2 linked regions of the Canis lupus familiaris genome follow. The protein of the gene in region 1 purifies or fractionates together with the protein of each later gene. This does not show direct contact. Links are inferred from orthologs where the notes say so. Each region holds a gene or a part of one and is shown in the gene's direction. Other genes may lie near its edges.

Region 1 (7,859 bases):
TCCTTCATAGTTTCTTCTACGCTTTTGAGCAGTATTTCACTTTTTGATCTTTACATATGTTGCTCGGTAAAAATAAAAAAATAATTTTAAAATGCACATAATACATGTAGCCACCTATTTTGCTTACTCTTAGGGACAGGCCAGTGGAGTTTCTTGCTGTATGCTTCCATTCCACCTCTTACCAAAAGTTTGTAAACTTCTTTTTACTCCAAATCCCAAACTTTGCATTAGAAAGTGCTTGTATTTTAGACCAGAGGTTCCCAACCCCTTTTCGATGCATGAAGATATCTCTTTCTTTAAAAACAGAGACAGTAGTTCTGCAAAAGAAGACTGTCCACTTCGTGAACTATTAAATAAAGTTCATAAAAAATAAAAATAAAAAAATTAAGAGAGAAGACAGGATAAATAACCAGTGGCTAAGAGCACAGACCTTGGAGCCAGACTCTGTTCAGATCCCAGCTTTGGCGCTTATCAGCTGTATGATTTGGGGCAAGTCTCTGAATTCCTCTGCCTCCTCAGCTTCGTTATCTGTAACATAGAGATAATAACAATACTCACCTCCAGAAGGTGTTGTGAAAATTCATGGAGTTCATTTTTTTTAAGTGCTTAGACCAGTGTCTGGCATGTTAAATACGTAAAATTTCACAAGAAGGAAGTACTTACCCTTTTGAATCGATAGATTGGGAAACTACTAAATTCGGAGTTACCTTGAGTTATTTATTAACTATTAAAAATATATATGATATTCCTATCAGTTATAAAATAATTCGTATTTTCTTTATCACACCAGAATCTGCAGTTTGCCATAGAGTATGCCTGTAGGAAATGTTATTTCTTGTCAGTCTATGGACAACGTTCAATACGCATATGACTTTGTGATGAATCTGAAGAGGTCTGGCATTCACAAGACACATATACTGTCCATCTACTAACCCTCCATGCCTGCAAAGTAGGACCTATAATTGGTCATTTTTAAGTGATTAGGGTTTTAACTGATTGTATGTGGAAGCTACACTAATAGGATCTCCCCACTCCCTGCACCAGAATCATGCCCAAGATGAACCTATGAGAAGAAAACCAACACAGACTACAGTTGAGCCCCTCAGAAACTTAAGAAATCACTGACCAGAGCTGCTGGCAGGTATGCTTGGAATACAAGGGTCATTAGGAAGCTTAAATCTAATGTATTCCATTGTCTGAGAATGGACCATATTTAGAGAAGGGTTTAGCCAAGAGCAGAAGTAGGGAATGGTTGGAAAACAAAAGGTGTCCTCAGGTCTCTTGCATGGTCTGGGGACACAGATATTCCAATCTCTTTACTACAAACATCCGTATGCTATGTGGATACAAATCCTGATGGTTAAAAAAAAAAAAAAAAAAAATCCTGATGGTTGCATTTTTTTTTTAAAAATCTATATTCATTTGTTATAATCCAGGTTTACCAAGCCACATTCTGATGATAATTGGTCTTCCTGTATAAGTTTGTCCACAAGGAAAATTGTGCTTGGCACTAATATTTTTTATTGTAAATGAATAAATCAGCATTCTGGATTGTATAGCAGTTGCTATGAATGGTTTTGTTTTGTTTTCGCATGAGTCCCTGAGGAAATCCTCAAGTCTGGGTACCCAGCAGGAAGCAGGCTAAGCACCTCCAAGAGAACAGGCCAGAGGTCAGGATGACAGAATGAAGGAGACACTCCAAGCTGTTGTCTGTAGGTGACATCTCTCCATCTCATCTTTGAAAATCACAGCTTGGCCCCATACAGAACCCGCATCCCCAGTACTGTTGCAACTTTGGGTTTTCCTGATAGGGAGAGTTTCCAACTACATTGCTCTCTCCAGGAAAAGTGAGTTGAGGCGGAGTTTGGGCTTTCATTTGGAATCTGTGTTGTATTGATTATTTAAACCATTTTCATACACTACCTCTTACCTGCTATATTTACTCATTCACTTCCAACAGGCATCTTGATCAGTGAGCAAAACACTTTGTTGGGAGATAGATGGTTATAAAGATGGATTGTGAAGCCGTAGAAGCAACCCCAATGTGTGCGGATGAATGAATGGATAAGCACAATGCGATGGCTATACGTTAGGGAATATTGTCCGGCCTTAAAAAGGAGGGAAATTCTGACACGTGCTAACACAGGGATGGGAGTGGAGACATTACACTAAGTCAAATGACACAGTCCCCAAAAGACGAATATTGTATGATTTCATTTATATGAGGTCCCTAGAGTAGTCAAAATTTGGAGACAGAGGGTAGAACGGTGGCTGTCAGGGGCTGGGGCAGGAAGGAAGGGGGACTTGTTGTTCAGTGGACACAGTCCCAGTTCTGCAAGATGGAAAGAGGTAATGGATGATGGTGAAAGTAGCATAACCACATGACTATGCTTAAGGCCCCTGACCCTACACTTAGCCATGGTTAACACGGTCCGTTTTAGGTTATGTGTGTTTTACAACCATAAAGAAAAAGAGGCAGATGATGGCTCTTGTCCTATGGTGCTTACAACCCCTAGGAGAGGCCAAACAGGAGGGTGGGGCTAGCACTGTAGGGATGCACACTAAAGACGGTTAATACTGAGACCAGCCCATCTCACAAAGAAACTGATAGAAGGGGGCATCTGGGGAGCTCAGCGGTGGAGCACCTGCCTCCGGCCCAGGTCGTGACCCCGGGTCACGGGTTCGAGTCCCACATCGGGCTCCCTGCAGGCAGCCTGCTTCTCCCTCTGTAAATAAAATCCTAAAAAAAGAAAAAAGAAACTGATACAAGATGTAAGTTGTTATGCAAATTTCCCGACAGGCTTAAAACCCCTCCCATTGGTGCTTGAGCCCTGAGCGCCCCGAGCCTGCTCCCAGGGCTGCACAGCGCCGCCGCCCGCAGTGCACCGCCAGGCACGTAGGGGGCGCTGCGGCCCCGCCTCTGCTCCGCGCCCCCCCCGCCCCGCCTCGGTGGCCCTCACTTCCGCTTCCGGAGCCCGCCTCCGCGCGCCGGGGTCTGCGCAGTCTCCGGCTTCCGGCCCGCGAGCAGCATGGCGGCGGCCTCGGGTGGGGAGAAGGAGAAGGAGCGGCCGGGGGGCGGCGCGGGCGCGGCGGGCGGGAACAGCACGCGGGAGCGGCTGCTGTCTGCGCTGGAGGACCTGGAGGTCTTGTCGAGGTAGGGGCGTCGGGCGGGCGGCCTGGCTGGAGTCGGGGAGGCGGCGCTCCGGAGACCGCGGCGGGGTCGTGGCCTCGAGGTCGCAGCCCCACGAGACCCGGACGCGGCCTCTTCCCCCCGCACAGCCCCCGGGGGACGCTTGATAGCGGCGGTGACCCCGGGACCCTGACACTGGGAGATGGGGGGAGGGGGGACCTGGGGGGGCGCTCGGTGACCTGCAGGGACACCCGGGACCTGACACTGGGAGATGGGGGAGGGGGGACGTGGGGGGGCGCTCGGTACCTGCAGGGACACTCCGGGACCTGACACTCGGTGATGGGGGAGGGGGGACCTGGGGGAGCGCTCAGTGACCTGCAGGGACACCCCGGGACCCCGGCACTGGGAGATGGGGGGAGGGGGGACCTGGGAGGGCGCTCGGTACCTGCAGGGACACCCGGGACCTGACACTCGGAGATGGGGGGACTGGGGATCTGGGGGGGCGCTCGGTACCTGCAGGGACACTCCGGGACCTGACACTCGGTGATGGGGGAGGGGGGACCTGGGGGGCGCTCGGTGACCTGCAGGGACACCCCGGACCCCGGCACTCAGAGATAGCTGTCACCTATTTCCATGACTGTGTCCCAGCGGCTAGGACCTAGTCAAAGCAGATGCCATCCTTTGTCTACAGAAGCCACTTAACTTGATTTCCATTCTACTCCTCTTAAAATCCATTTTCCAGGTAGCTTAGCAATTGCTTAAAAACATAAATCAGGTCATGTCATTTCCATTTAAAATGATGCATCAGTGGGGCGCCTGGGTTGCTCAGTCAGTGGGGCGTCCACCTTGGGCTCAGGTGGGTGCAGGGTCCTGGATTGAGCCCTGAATCCGCTCCTTCCTCTGCCTCCCCCTCCTTCATTTTTTTTTTCTCTCTCAAAATAAAAAAATCTTTTTAAAAAAGTTAAAATGATCCAGTCGCTTTCCATTGTACCTGGAATGAAATGCTGATTCTTTACCATGACCTGTGAGGCCCTCACACAGCCTGGCCCGCCTGCCCTCCAGACCCGTCCTCATTGTGTATCCTGCTCCTCGGTACTGACTGCTGTGTCCTGGCCACCCTTCCTCAAACCCATCTTTGGGCCCCTGAACCCGGCTTTTCTCACTTATAGAAGCCCTCCCTGACTCCACCAGTGTGAGTGGCCAGACAACTCACTGACACACTCTAACACTGCTTCAGTTTCTTCCCAGCCCTTCTTCTAACTCTGGTTTGATTTACCTGCTTTCTTGGTTTTTCTCTTCTGTATTATAATTTAAATTCCTTTGTTCACTTTCATAAGCTAGGCATCCAGAAAGTGCCTGGCACACAGTGGAAACTTAAATGTTTAATCAGTGGGTGAATGAAGACTTTCCATTGCCATATCCACTTTATTCATTAATTAGCTAGCTAGTGCATGCATAATGGTATGAGAACCTCAAAGTGGGGAAGGTTGGGTCCAGTTGGCACCATCCAGAAAAATAGTTTGAGGCTGGCAGTAAGGAAGATGGAAATATGAAGGTGAAAATAGTCTGGCGGCCAGTGAGAAGGTACAGGCTTTACTGGGGCTGACTGGTGGTGTCCTGTTGCTAATTGTGCATCTGTACCTCTTGCATAATTTCTGGAGTCCCATCTGTCAGCAAGTTTGAAACTAGTGTATCAGGATATTACCTGATACATATTTTATACTCCTCTTTATACTAGTTTTCATAAAGGAAAATTGGCATGTCTAGTAAATAAGCATTCCAGAAAGATAGGACTTTATTATACATTAGAATCCCTTAGTTGATACCTGTTTGGTTAATTAAAAATTTCAGTTCACATAGAAAATCATTTAAAAAATGATTCATCTACTCCTTAATTTAGGGGGTTTTCTTGCATAAACCACCCATAATGCCTTGTCCACCAATTTCTAGTGTGTTTCGTTAAAGTGAAATGAGGGGTGCCTGACTGGCTCAGGCAGTAGAGTATGCGACTTGATCTATGGGTTGTGAATTTGAGCCCCACCTTGGGCATAGAGATTACTTTAAAAAAAAAAAAAGTAAATAAACTTAAATGCTTATCAAGCAGTCTTAGGGTAGACTTGCTGAATTTTCATGACTTTGCAGTTCTTTGCAGGCAGCTGTTGAGTCTTTCCCAAGTATTCAGTTTAGGTTTTTATGGAAATTACTCTTTTCTGTTGACAGTCATATTTCGTTGGTATTTATGAAATGGATATTTAATATATTTAACTATACTAGTAAAGTAAAACTTGCATAACTGGATCTGGTAACAGACATAACTGAGTCTTGGTGAGAGAGTACCGCTTAGCTGATGAGAGCCCAAGCGCACGGTCACTGGGCAGGGGCTCTGAATACTCAGCATGCTGTGGGTGCCATGAATCTAGCAAGTCAGTTAGGTAGAGATCAGTTAATAAAGCTTCTGTTGTATTTTGCAAAGATGTTTTTGTTTTTCTTTTTTAGAGAACTTATAGAAATGCTGGCAATTTCAAGAAACCAAAAGTTGTTGCCGCCTGATGAGGAAAACCAGGTAAGTGGTTTCTTTTTATATTACAAACAAGAAATCCCCATTATTTGTGCAATTTCCCTATTTACATTTACTTTGTGTGAGAACAGGAAGATTGGATTCTGTTAAATTATAGATTACAATTTTTAAATTGATACTTCGAATCACTTACATAGGGTAACACTGCTTGAGAAGAAAAAAGTCTAAAGGTTTAGCAGTATTGTTTTTTCTTCTAGTTACACATTTATTCGTTTTTGTCTTTTGAATTAACCAACTAATAAACTTGTTAAATGGAGGTTAAAACAATATTTGAAATAAAAAAAGTTAATGCTGTCATAAACTACCTTTTATTATATAGACCTGGTTCCCCTAATGCAACTTGAGAAGTAATAGAAATTAAAGAGCATACAACTGTTAACAGAAGTTATTTTGTGGAGGTTAAATTTACATGTTTTTATTTTCTTTATTCCTTTCTGTGCTTTGTAATTTTCTACGGTGAGCAGATTTTTTTTTCTGATCCAAAACCTTTTTTAAATTAATTAATTTGTATTATTTATTTACTCATGAGAGACACAGGCAGAGGGAGAAGTAGGTCCTCTGTGGGGAGCCCGATGTGGGACTCGATCCCAGGACCCCGGGATCACAGCCTGAGCTGAAGGCAGACACTCAGCCACTAAGCCACCCAGGAATGATCCAAAAACTTTTTAAAGTTAAGAGGGCAAATGTCATTTTATGTGTTTTCTACTGTAATTTAAAAAAAAAAAAAAAAAGTTTTTTTAAAAGAAAACAGCTGGGAAAGATTAACCTTTTTAGTAACAGGAGACATCTCATAGATCTCTTCTCCCTCCTCTCTGCCCTATTATTATCTTAGTTTTATTTTATGATATGTTTTGAGGGCAGAGAAATTCAATTGACTGATAATAGAGAAGTATCATAAAACTTGTTTTCTTCAACGATTAATCCCTTCAGGTGGAGACGGGGAATTAGATACGCTACAAGTAGTAAAAGCTGGGACTTTGGGGGAGATTAAAGTTGTTTTTAGTATGTTGTTTGTTTTTAGGAAAAGCTTATAGAGAAAAATGCTAATAGAGGAATGCCAGTCTCAGATACTTTATTGATAAATACATGTAAAATTAAGTAAGTACTTACTACAAAATGAAATACAGGTTTTGACTTTACTTCCCAGGCACACAGATTATTCAATAGGTCATAACCAAGACCTGCCTGGTCAGCACTAACTTTTCTTATACTTTTTAAGGACTAGCAGTTCTGTCCCTAAAAAATAACAGTACCTTGTCACATAAAGTTGTTGTGAGGATTTACGATACTGCATGTTAAGTACAAATAAGGAGAGCTCAGTAATGGATAATTGTCATCGTCACTACCCAGGGAAAGAATTAAACTTTATACTTAGTGTTGTGAATTCCTGTATAATTTTCAACGAAAGTACTAAATATTAGTTTGGATGTGCCCATATGAAAATTTATTTTTGGAAATTGCTCTTTTTTAAACCATCTTCATCATAAAACAATAGTATGCATGACATCACAGGTCTAATATGAGTTATGTATTTTCTTGAACATAATAGCAAAAATGTGCAACTGTAAAAGTTTTTTTAAGTATCAGACATTTATCATAATAGTATTTCTGCAGTCAGCTTAACTCTGAGACAGCCATAATGAAGCATTTACTTAATTATATTGTCAAGTTTCCTTATATAGTTTAATATTTTACTCATTTATTTGCTATATTTATTTATTTATTATATTATTATTATTATTTATTTTATAGTTGATTATATACAATTTTGTGACTTTAAAAAATGTACATTTTGTCATGTCTTTGCATCGTGTTTAGCACTTCAGGCTTTTAAATTTTTTTCTACTCTTATTGAGATAACAGTAGAAATATAACATCGCATTAGTTTAAGATATGCGACAATGATTTGATACATGTATGTATTGTGAAATGATTATCACAGTAAGTTTAGTTAATTTACGTTACCTCACATACTTAAAATTTTTTTTTCTTAAGAACTTTTAAGAAGATGTCAGGGAAACTGTGGCACCTTTTCATGTACCTGTTGGTGATTTGGGTGCCTTTGGAAAAATTTCTATTCTGTTTCTCTGTACATTTTTAAGAACTTTCTTAAAGTTGCTAAAATTTACTGTCTTAGCAACTTTCAAATAT
Region 2 (7,733 bases), on another chromosome or scaffold:
AATATTTTATTCAGGATTCTTATTAACTGAAATATTCTTTCAGGGGGGAGATATCACCAAACATGATGGAACAGGAGGACGGTCCATCTATGGAGACAAATTTGAAGATGAAAATTTTGATGTGAAACATACTGGTCCTGGCTTACTATCAATGGCCAATCGAGGCCGGGATACCAATAATTCTCAGTTTTTTATAACATTGAAAAAAGCAGAGCATTTGGACTTTAAGCATGTAGTATTTGGGTTTGTTAAGGATGGCATGGATACTGTGAAAAAGATTGAATCATTTGGCTCTCCTAAAGGGTCTGTTAGTCGAAGAATTAGTATCACAGAATGTGGACAGATATAAAATCATTGTTTTTCATAGTAAATTTAATCTGTATAAACAGTTGAATTGAGCTTAGCTGTTGTGACAATATGGTAATTATGTTCAGCTTTTGAAAATGGACGTTTCCAATGTATAAATGTAAAATTGCAGCTTATAGCTGTTGTCACTTTTTAATGTGTTATAATTGACCTTGCATGGTGTGAAATAAAAGTTTAAACACTGGTGTAAATCAGGTGTACTTGTGTTTATGTACTCCTGACATATCTCTGTTAAAATGGAATAATACTAATCTTGTTAAAAGCAATAGACCTTCTCAAACTCTTGAAGGAATATGATATATGCAATTTAATTTTACCTTTTAAGGTATTGGACTTCCTGCATGGATAAACTTACCATTTGAATAAAGGGACCACAACTTGGATAATTTTTATTTTAGATTTGAAATATATTTGGTAATATTAACTATTGGTGTGCTCATTTATGCATAGAGACTCACTTATGAATGGGTAGAGCCACAGAGGGTAGAGACTTAACCAAAGTGCTCTTCTATAATCCTTGAACCTCCTGTATAGTTAAATTAACTTTTAAGTAGAATACCTTCTTTTCTTAAAATGATCTGTAGTTCCTGTGCCCTTTCAGAGGTATTAAATTAATTTTTACATTTTAAACAAGTATTTCCTTAGTTTTTTTGTTTTGTTTTTTAACTTTTCTGTCATCTGTTTCTACTACCTCAAACTGCAGCTTGGTTCTGATAGAACTTGAATTTTTCCTTGCAGTTATTGTGATAAAGTATGACTATTTTAAAAAGGTCTATACCATGTTCTTTGGTTAAAGATTTGCTTTATACTAGATTGTTGCAGTACCTTTTTCTGGTGAATTTTGTAGCAAAAATAAAGTGACAATTGTTAACAGCCATGACATTTAAAAAATTTATTACTTGTGCATCTAGTTGTTTGTTCATTCTAGAGCCAAAGTAAGGAGAACAATAAAAATTCTGTAAATCAGACTGCTACATAATTTCCAAAGCTCCCAAAAAAGTGACTTCAAATTTGATACATACACACTGAAGATTTATTTGGAAATGGCTACTGTCAAAGTTAGGCAAACTGCTGAAAAGGTGGTGGGGCAGGAGGGGGAGGTATTCTCATATCAATCAGCCTACTCAATATAGACCTACAAAGAATCTAGAGCACAAAATATTGTGTATTCTGATTACCAAAAATGACTGCCTTCTACCCTCCTGTGTTCTTCCCAGTGAAATCATCTCATTTTGTTTAGTGAAAGATGGTGGGGTTTATTCTGTTGTTTGGGGATTTGGAAATCAGTTATCATATGATACCTGTTTAACCACCCGACGGAGGAGGAGAAGGATGTCATGTGTGGTGTGTGTGAGTAATGAGTGGTGGAACACTCACTGAACCCACTTGGCCACAAAGGCAGATAAACCTATTGCAGTGTACCATTTGAAATTACCTGAACCTTGGACTACATGTGTGTACATTTAATATTAAGAATTGGCTTCTTTGGAGACCTATGTAATATAAATTGATATAGTGTGTTATAGTTTTTCAGCTGGGACAGCTGATGGCTTTGTCATGATTTTAGAATAAATTCCAAGTAAGGGAATTATGCTTTACATATTTTTTAGACAAATGAGTTTACACTATCTTCTATGCTATCCTAAAGCATTAAGACTATGAATTAAAAGAGCTTTAAAAGCTAATGCTTGAACCAAAAATTTTATTCAATGACATGTAAACTGTTTTCCAGTGTTAGTATTCCAAGGTGCTTAAAAGATGGCTTGGGACGTTAATGACAAAAGACATTTCAGGAAAGGACTTTGTGATTTCTCTCTGTTATTTGATCCTTATGCAGTATAAATCCACAATGACAAGTACTTTTTGCCCCAACTGGCTCAACTTCATAGTGTCTCAATAAAAATCTGCTTAAAATAGAGCATAAAAAAGTATTTGTACATGTAATATTCGATGGGAAAGAATATTGGTAAAAATAATTTTCAGATAACTTCATGATATTCTAAAACTTTGGCATTTGAAGAACTTGAAAGATAATCCAGAGAATCTAGGATTTGTTAGTCCAGACACGTTGAACTCATAATTTAGAAAGGTAAAGGATCGTGCTAATGTAATTGTATAAATTAATGAAGTGGATTCAGTTATTCCTTTCAGTTAGTCTTGGTTTGATAAAGGATTTAGGTTGATAGACCGTTCCAATAAATATTGAGCCACCTACTAAATGCCTGGCATTGTTCTTAAGTACTGGGAAAAACTGTTCAAAAAAGAAAGTACATGCTCGTTCTTAAGTTCACTACATTCGTACGGGGAGCTTACATTCTACTACTGCTTTTTAATCCCAGACCAATGGCAGGGAAAGTGAGGGAGTCATCCTCTGAGAATTCTGTGCTTTGAGTACAAGACGTCCTTGATTTCTGCCTCTAGTTAGCAAAGGCCATCCCGATTCATGAGGTGTGTTCTTGTATGCCCGAACGCACCCTAAATGTGTTAGGTTCGAGGAAGAGGGAGTCGCCGGCAGTCAGGTGTGCACGGTGCTGGTGACCACCGCGTGTGCACGTTCATTCCTGCACGCTCGCGGGGCGCACGGGGGACGGGAAGCGGCGGCGGCCCGCGGGGTCGGGATGCTGAGGCCGCCAGCGCCTCCCAGAGGGGCCACCTGCAGAGGTGCGATTGCTGTGGACATGACCGAGGAAAACTGAAGTAGAATCTTTTTAAGACAAAAGGTGAGACGCCGTTTATCAGTCCAAAGAACGCAGTCGTAGAGAAATTAGTTACTAAATCCTTCAGCAGGAAGAACACTTGTCAGAAGAGGACGTTTTGAACACTGCGTAGAGGGTGAGACGGAGGGCCTCGCTGCCTGGTCTGGGCCCTGGCGGTGCCGGCGCTCCTGGGGTCGCTCCCCCCGCCCCCCCGCCCGGTGCCCCTGGCGCTCCGGGGCGCTCTCCACCCGAGGCGGGGGGGCGGGGCGTGCTGCGTCGTGTCGCAGGTCCGTGACGCGAGCTCCGCCCCTGCGCGTCCCGCCGCCGTGTTTGAACGCTGCTCCCGGGGTGACAACGGCGGCGTCCGCTCGCTATGGAGCCGAGGCTGGTGAAGCCCCCCGGGCAGGATTTGGTGGTGGAGCGACTCAAAAGCCGCTACGGACTAGGGGGCAGCCGCCTGGCCGAGGTGAGGTCTCGCCCTTCCCCTCGGGCTGTCCCCGGGCCCGCGGGCTGGTTTGTGCAGGGGTAAAGCAAGCAGGCCGGCCGGCGGCTGCGCCCGGGGCCCGGAGCCCGGAGCCCGGAGCCCGGAGCCCGGAGACCGGAGCCCGGAGCCCGGGGCCGGGAGGGATGGGACCCCTGGGGCCGCCGCTCCCCCTCCGCCACAGCCCCGAGCCTGGGGCCGCCCTCCGCTCCGCCCCAGCAGGGTCAGGAACGGTAGCCGGAGGGGCAGCGCATGCTCCGCACCCTGGAGAAGCGGATTTTCCGTCAGAAAAAGCCCTTCACCCAGCACAGACCCTGGAAGGCGTGGGACGCCCCGGACGTGGTGGTAGGCCCCTTGTATTACAGTGACTTGTGCGGAGTTCAAAAAGCAATTTTAACTCCTCCAAAAACCTTCCTATTTTGAGGTAATTACCAACTTTAAGCTGCAAGGATCCTGTCAACAAGTCTTCCGAACCCTTGGTTTGGGCTCATCAGTCGTTCATACTTTGCCGCATCTGCGTTACTTCTCTTCCCGTCTCTGACGTGGCGTGCACACATTCCCCCTGAACTGATGGAGGGGACTTGCAGGCGCTGTGCACCCTCACCCCCGCATGGAAATTCTTAAGTGTATTTTCTGGGAATAGGGTGATTCTCACATATCCATAGCAATAAACTGAACAAACTGACCATTTGCACAGTAATATTTAACATAGAGTTAATATTCAGATTTCCGATTATCTCATTGATGTCCTTTGTAAACTTTGTTTCCCCGGTGCAGATAGAGTCCATCTGTATTTGGTTCTCTCCTGTTGCCTTTGTTCTGGCTCAGGTTCTAAGTCTCTGTCTTTATTTTTTTGAGATTTTATTTATGTATTCATGAGAGACAGAGAGGGGAGAGGCAGAGACACAGGCAGAGGGAGAAGCAGGCTCCATGCAGGGAGCCCCATGTGGGACTCGATCCCGGGACCCCAGGATCATGCCCTGCGCGGAAGGCGGACGCTCAACCGCTGAGCCCCCAGGCGTCCCTAAGTCTCTGTCTTTATGATGTATTTTTGAAGACTACAGGACAACTGTATATGGGACTGTCCCTCCGTCAGATTTTCTCGGATGCGTATACCTCAGGATTGTACATAGATACTGACTTTGTGCGTTTTTGGCAGGAGTGATGTGTAGGTTTCTCTTGTTCACTAGGAGGTATAACATTTCTATGTCCTGTTATTGGTGATACTAACTTTGACCGCTTGATTAAGATAGTATCTATTAGATTTGTCCATGCTAATTTTTGTAATTAATTCTTGTACTTAATACATAATTTGTGGGGAACTCTTTTGAGATTGTAGGTTGATTCTTAATATATAAATTAAATGTCTTTTTTGATTTTTTTTAGTATGATTTTTCAAATTTTGATCAGGCTAGGTGGAAGAGAAGATCGCTAATCTCTCCAGGTAAGCTGATCGAGTATTTTGTGTATTTGGGGGTTTTAACAAATTTAATTTGAGAAAAAACATTAAAAAAAATGTTTAGGCTTAACACTAAGTGCCAGATATCTTGTGATACTAGGCTTTTTTCATTCAGGTAATGAACTAATAGTCATCAAGATTTGGGGGGGTAAAGGTATGATATCTCTAAAATCAAATTGAGTGAATTTTTTTGGTGTTTCAGTTACAGTATTTTTGCCTTTAAAAATGTTAAAAATTAAACAGTATATTGGGGAAAGAAAACTAATTGCTATTTTTTTAAGGCACAAACTTTTCCAAGTTACAGGGGTAGTAATTGTTGCACCAGAAGAATTTTTCAAATGTACTTGATAAAGAGAATTATACTGTGAAATGGGGTCGGTTGGAACATTATATGGTAATCTGGAACTAACATATATAGCTAATTAACCTTTAGTCTTTTGATTTGTTGATACTTCTTCAGTGATGTTTTTACTAGTAAGTATTATCATTGAATTTTGAGGTCATTGCAGCAGAAACAGTAAGTTTATGAGATGGTAGATTAGGGAATTTCATTTTTTTCCAAGTTTATTTCTCTTTGAAATTTTGTAAACACTCTTCTGAAACATTCCTTCAGTATGAACAAACCCAGTTATTACTGAGTTTAGTATCTTAAAACATTTTTAAAATTTTTTTTAACTTTTATTTATTTATGATAGTCACAGAGAGAGAGAGAGAGAGAGAGAAAGAGAGAGGCAGAGACATAGGCAGAGGGAGAAGCAGGCTCCATGCACCGGGAGCCCGATGTGGGGGATTCGATCCCGGGTCTCCAGGATCGTGCCCTGGGCCAAAGGCAGGCGCCAAACCGCTGCGCCACCCAGGGATCCCTTAAAACATTTTTTAAATTGTATCTTAGTTTTGAAATTTGTCCTAAAATTTCCAACATTCTAAACTATAACTAAAAAGTATAGCTTGTTTAATTTCTGATGGGAAAAAGCATGTTAGACAAAAGGTGCATACATTTCAGTGACATGGATAGAACTAGAGCTGCTCAGTGAAATAAATGAGTTAGAGAAAGACATACCATATGATTTCACTTATAGGTGGAATTTAAGAAACAAAACATATGAACGAACATAGGGGAAGGGAATGAAAAATAAAATAAGATGAAATTGAGAGGGAGTCAAACCGTAAGAGATTCTTAACTCTAGGAAACAAACTTGAGGGTTGCTGGAGGGTAGGTAGGTAGGGGATAGGATAACTCGGTGGTGGGCATTAAGGAGGGCACTTGATGTCGTGAGCCCTGGGTGTTATATGCAACTGATGAATCAGTAAATCTACCTATGAAATTAATTTTAAAAAAGTCAGATAATTCCAGAAAAAAATTTTTTTTGATAAAATAGCAAACAATCCATGTTTATAAAATGACATAGGCAGAGGGTTCAAAATCAGAATCAAACAACTGAATGGCCCACAGAAAACTATTAAGTTGAAGAATACATAGGAGCCAGCTCCTGCAAGGTTAAGAGAAATTTTTTTAAATTTATTTTTTATTGGTGTTCAATTTACTAACATACAGAATAACCCCCAGTGCCCGTCACCCATTCACTCCCACCCCCCGCCCTCCTCCCCTTCTACCACCCCTAGTTTGTTTCCCAGAGTTAGCAGTCTTTACGTTCTGTCTCCCTTTCTGATATTTCCCACACATTTCTTCTCCCTTCCCTTATATTCCCTTTCACTATTATTTATATTCCCCAAATGAATGAGAACATATAATGTTTGTCCTTCTCCGACTGACTTACTTCACTCAGCATAATACCCTCCAGTTCCATCCACGTTGAAGCAAATGGTGGGTATTTGTCACTTCTAATAGCTGAGTAATATTCCATTGTATACATAAACCACATCTTCTTTATCCATTCATCTTTCGTTGGACACCGAGGCTCCTTCCACAGTTTGGCTATCGTGGCCATTGCTGCTATAAACATCGGGGTGCAGGTGTCCCGGCGTTTCATTGCATCTGTATCTTTGGGGTAAATCCCCAGCAGTGCAATTGCTGGGTCGTAGGGCAGGTCTATTTTTAACTCTTTAAGGAACCTCCACACAGTTTTCCAGAGTGGCTGCACCAGTTCACATTCCCACCAACAGTGTAAGAGGGTTCCCTTTTCTCCTGCATCCCCTCCAACATTTGTTGTTTCCTGCCTTGTTAATTTTCCCCATTCTCACCGGTGTGAGGTGGTATCTCATTGTGGTTTTGATTTGTATTTCCCTGATGGCAAGTGATGCAGAGCATTTTCTCATATGCATGTTGGCCATGTCTATGTCTTCCTCTGTGAGATTCCTCTTCATGTCTTTTGCCCATTTCATGATTGGATTGTTTGTTTCTTTGGTGTTGAGTTGAATAAGTTCTTTATAGATCTTGGAAACTAGCCCTTTATCTGATATGTCATTTGCAAATATCTTCTCCCATTTTGTAGGTTGTCTTTGAGTTTTGTTGACGGTTTCTTTTGCTGTGCAAAAGCTTCTTATCTTGATGAAGTCTCAGTAGTTCATTTTTGCTTTTGTTTCTTTTGCCTTCGTGGATGTATCTTGCAAGAAGTTACTGTGGCCGAGTTCAAAAAGGGTGTTGCCTGTGTTCTTCTCTACGTGTGTTCTTCTCTACGATTTTGATGGAATCTTGTCTCACATTTAGATCTTTCATCCATTTTGAGTTTATCTTTGTGTATGGTGAAAGAGAGTGGTCTAGTTTCATTCT

What was found.
Region 2: the proteins of MED4 (region 1) and CCDC138 purify together in Homo sapiens (affinity purification with mass spectrometry; 3 studies listed by BioGRID and IntAct, with this or other methods). This does not show direct contact. The link is inferred for Canis lupus familiaris from reciprocal best matches to the Homo sapiens genes MED4 and CCDC138.

Annotation. Positions count from the first base shown.
Region 1 is NC_049243.1:3,360,282-3,368,140, forward strand, and holds the start of MED4 (mediator of RNA polymerase II transcription subunit 4), read left to right. Parts: upstream 1-3,001; 5' UTR 3,002-3,029; coding exon 3,030-3,154; intron 3,155-5,626; coding exon 5,627-5,693; intron 5,694-7,859. UniProt on the Homo sapiens protein: Component of the Mediator complex, a coactivator involved in the regulated transcription of nearly all RNA polymerase II-dependent genes.
Region 2 is NC_049231.1:36,137,840-36,145,572, reverse strand, and holds the start of CCDC138 (coiled-coil domain-containing protein 138), read left to right. Parts: upstream 1-3,362; 5' UTR 3,363-3,435; coding exon 3,436-3,528; intron 3,529-3,765; exon of another isoform or gene 3,766-3,795; coding exon of another isoform or gene 3,796-3,888; intron 3,889-4,929; coding exon 4,930-4,987; intron 4,988-7,733. Other genes in the region: E3 SUMO-protein ligase RanBP2, read left to right, coding at 44-349.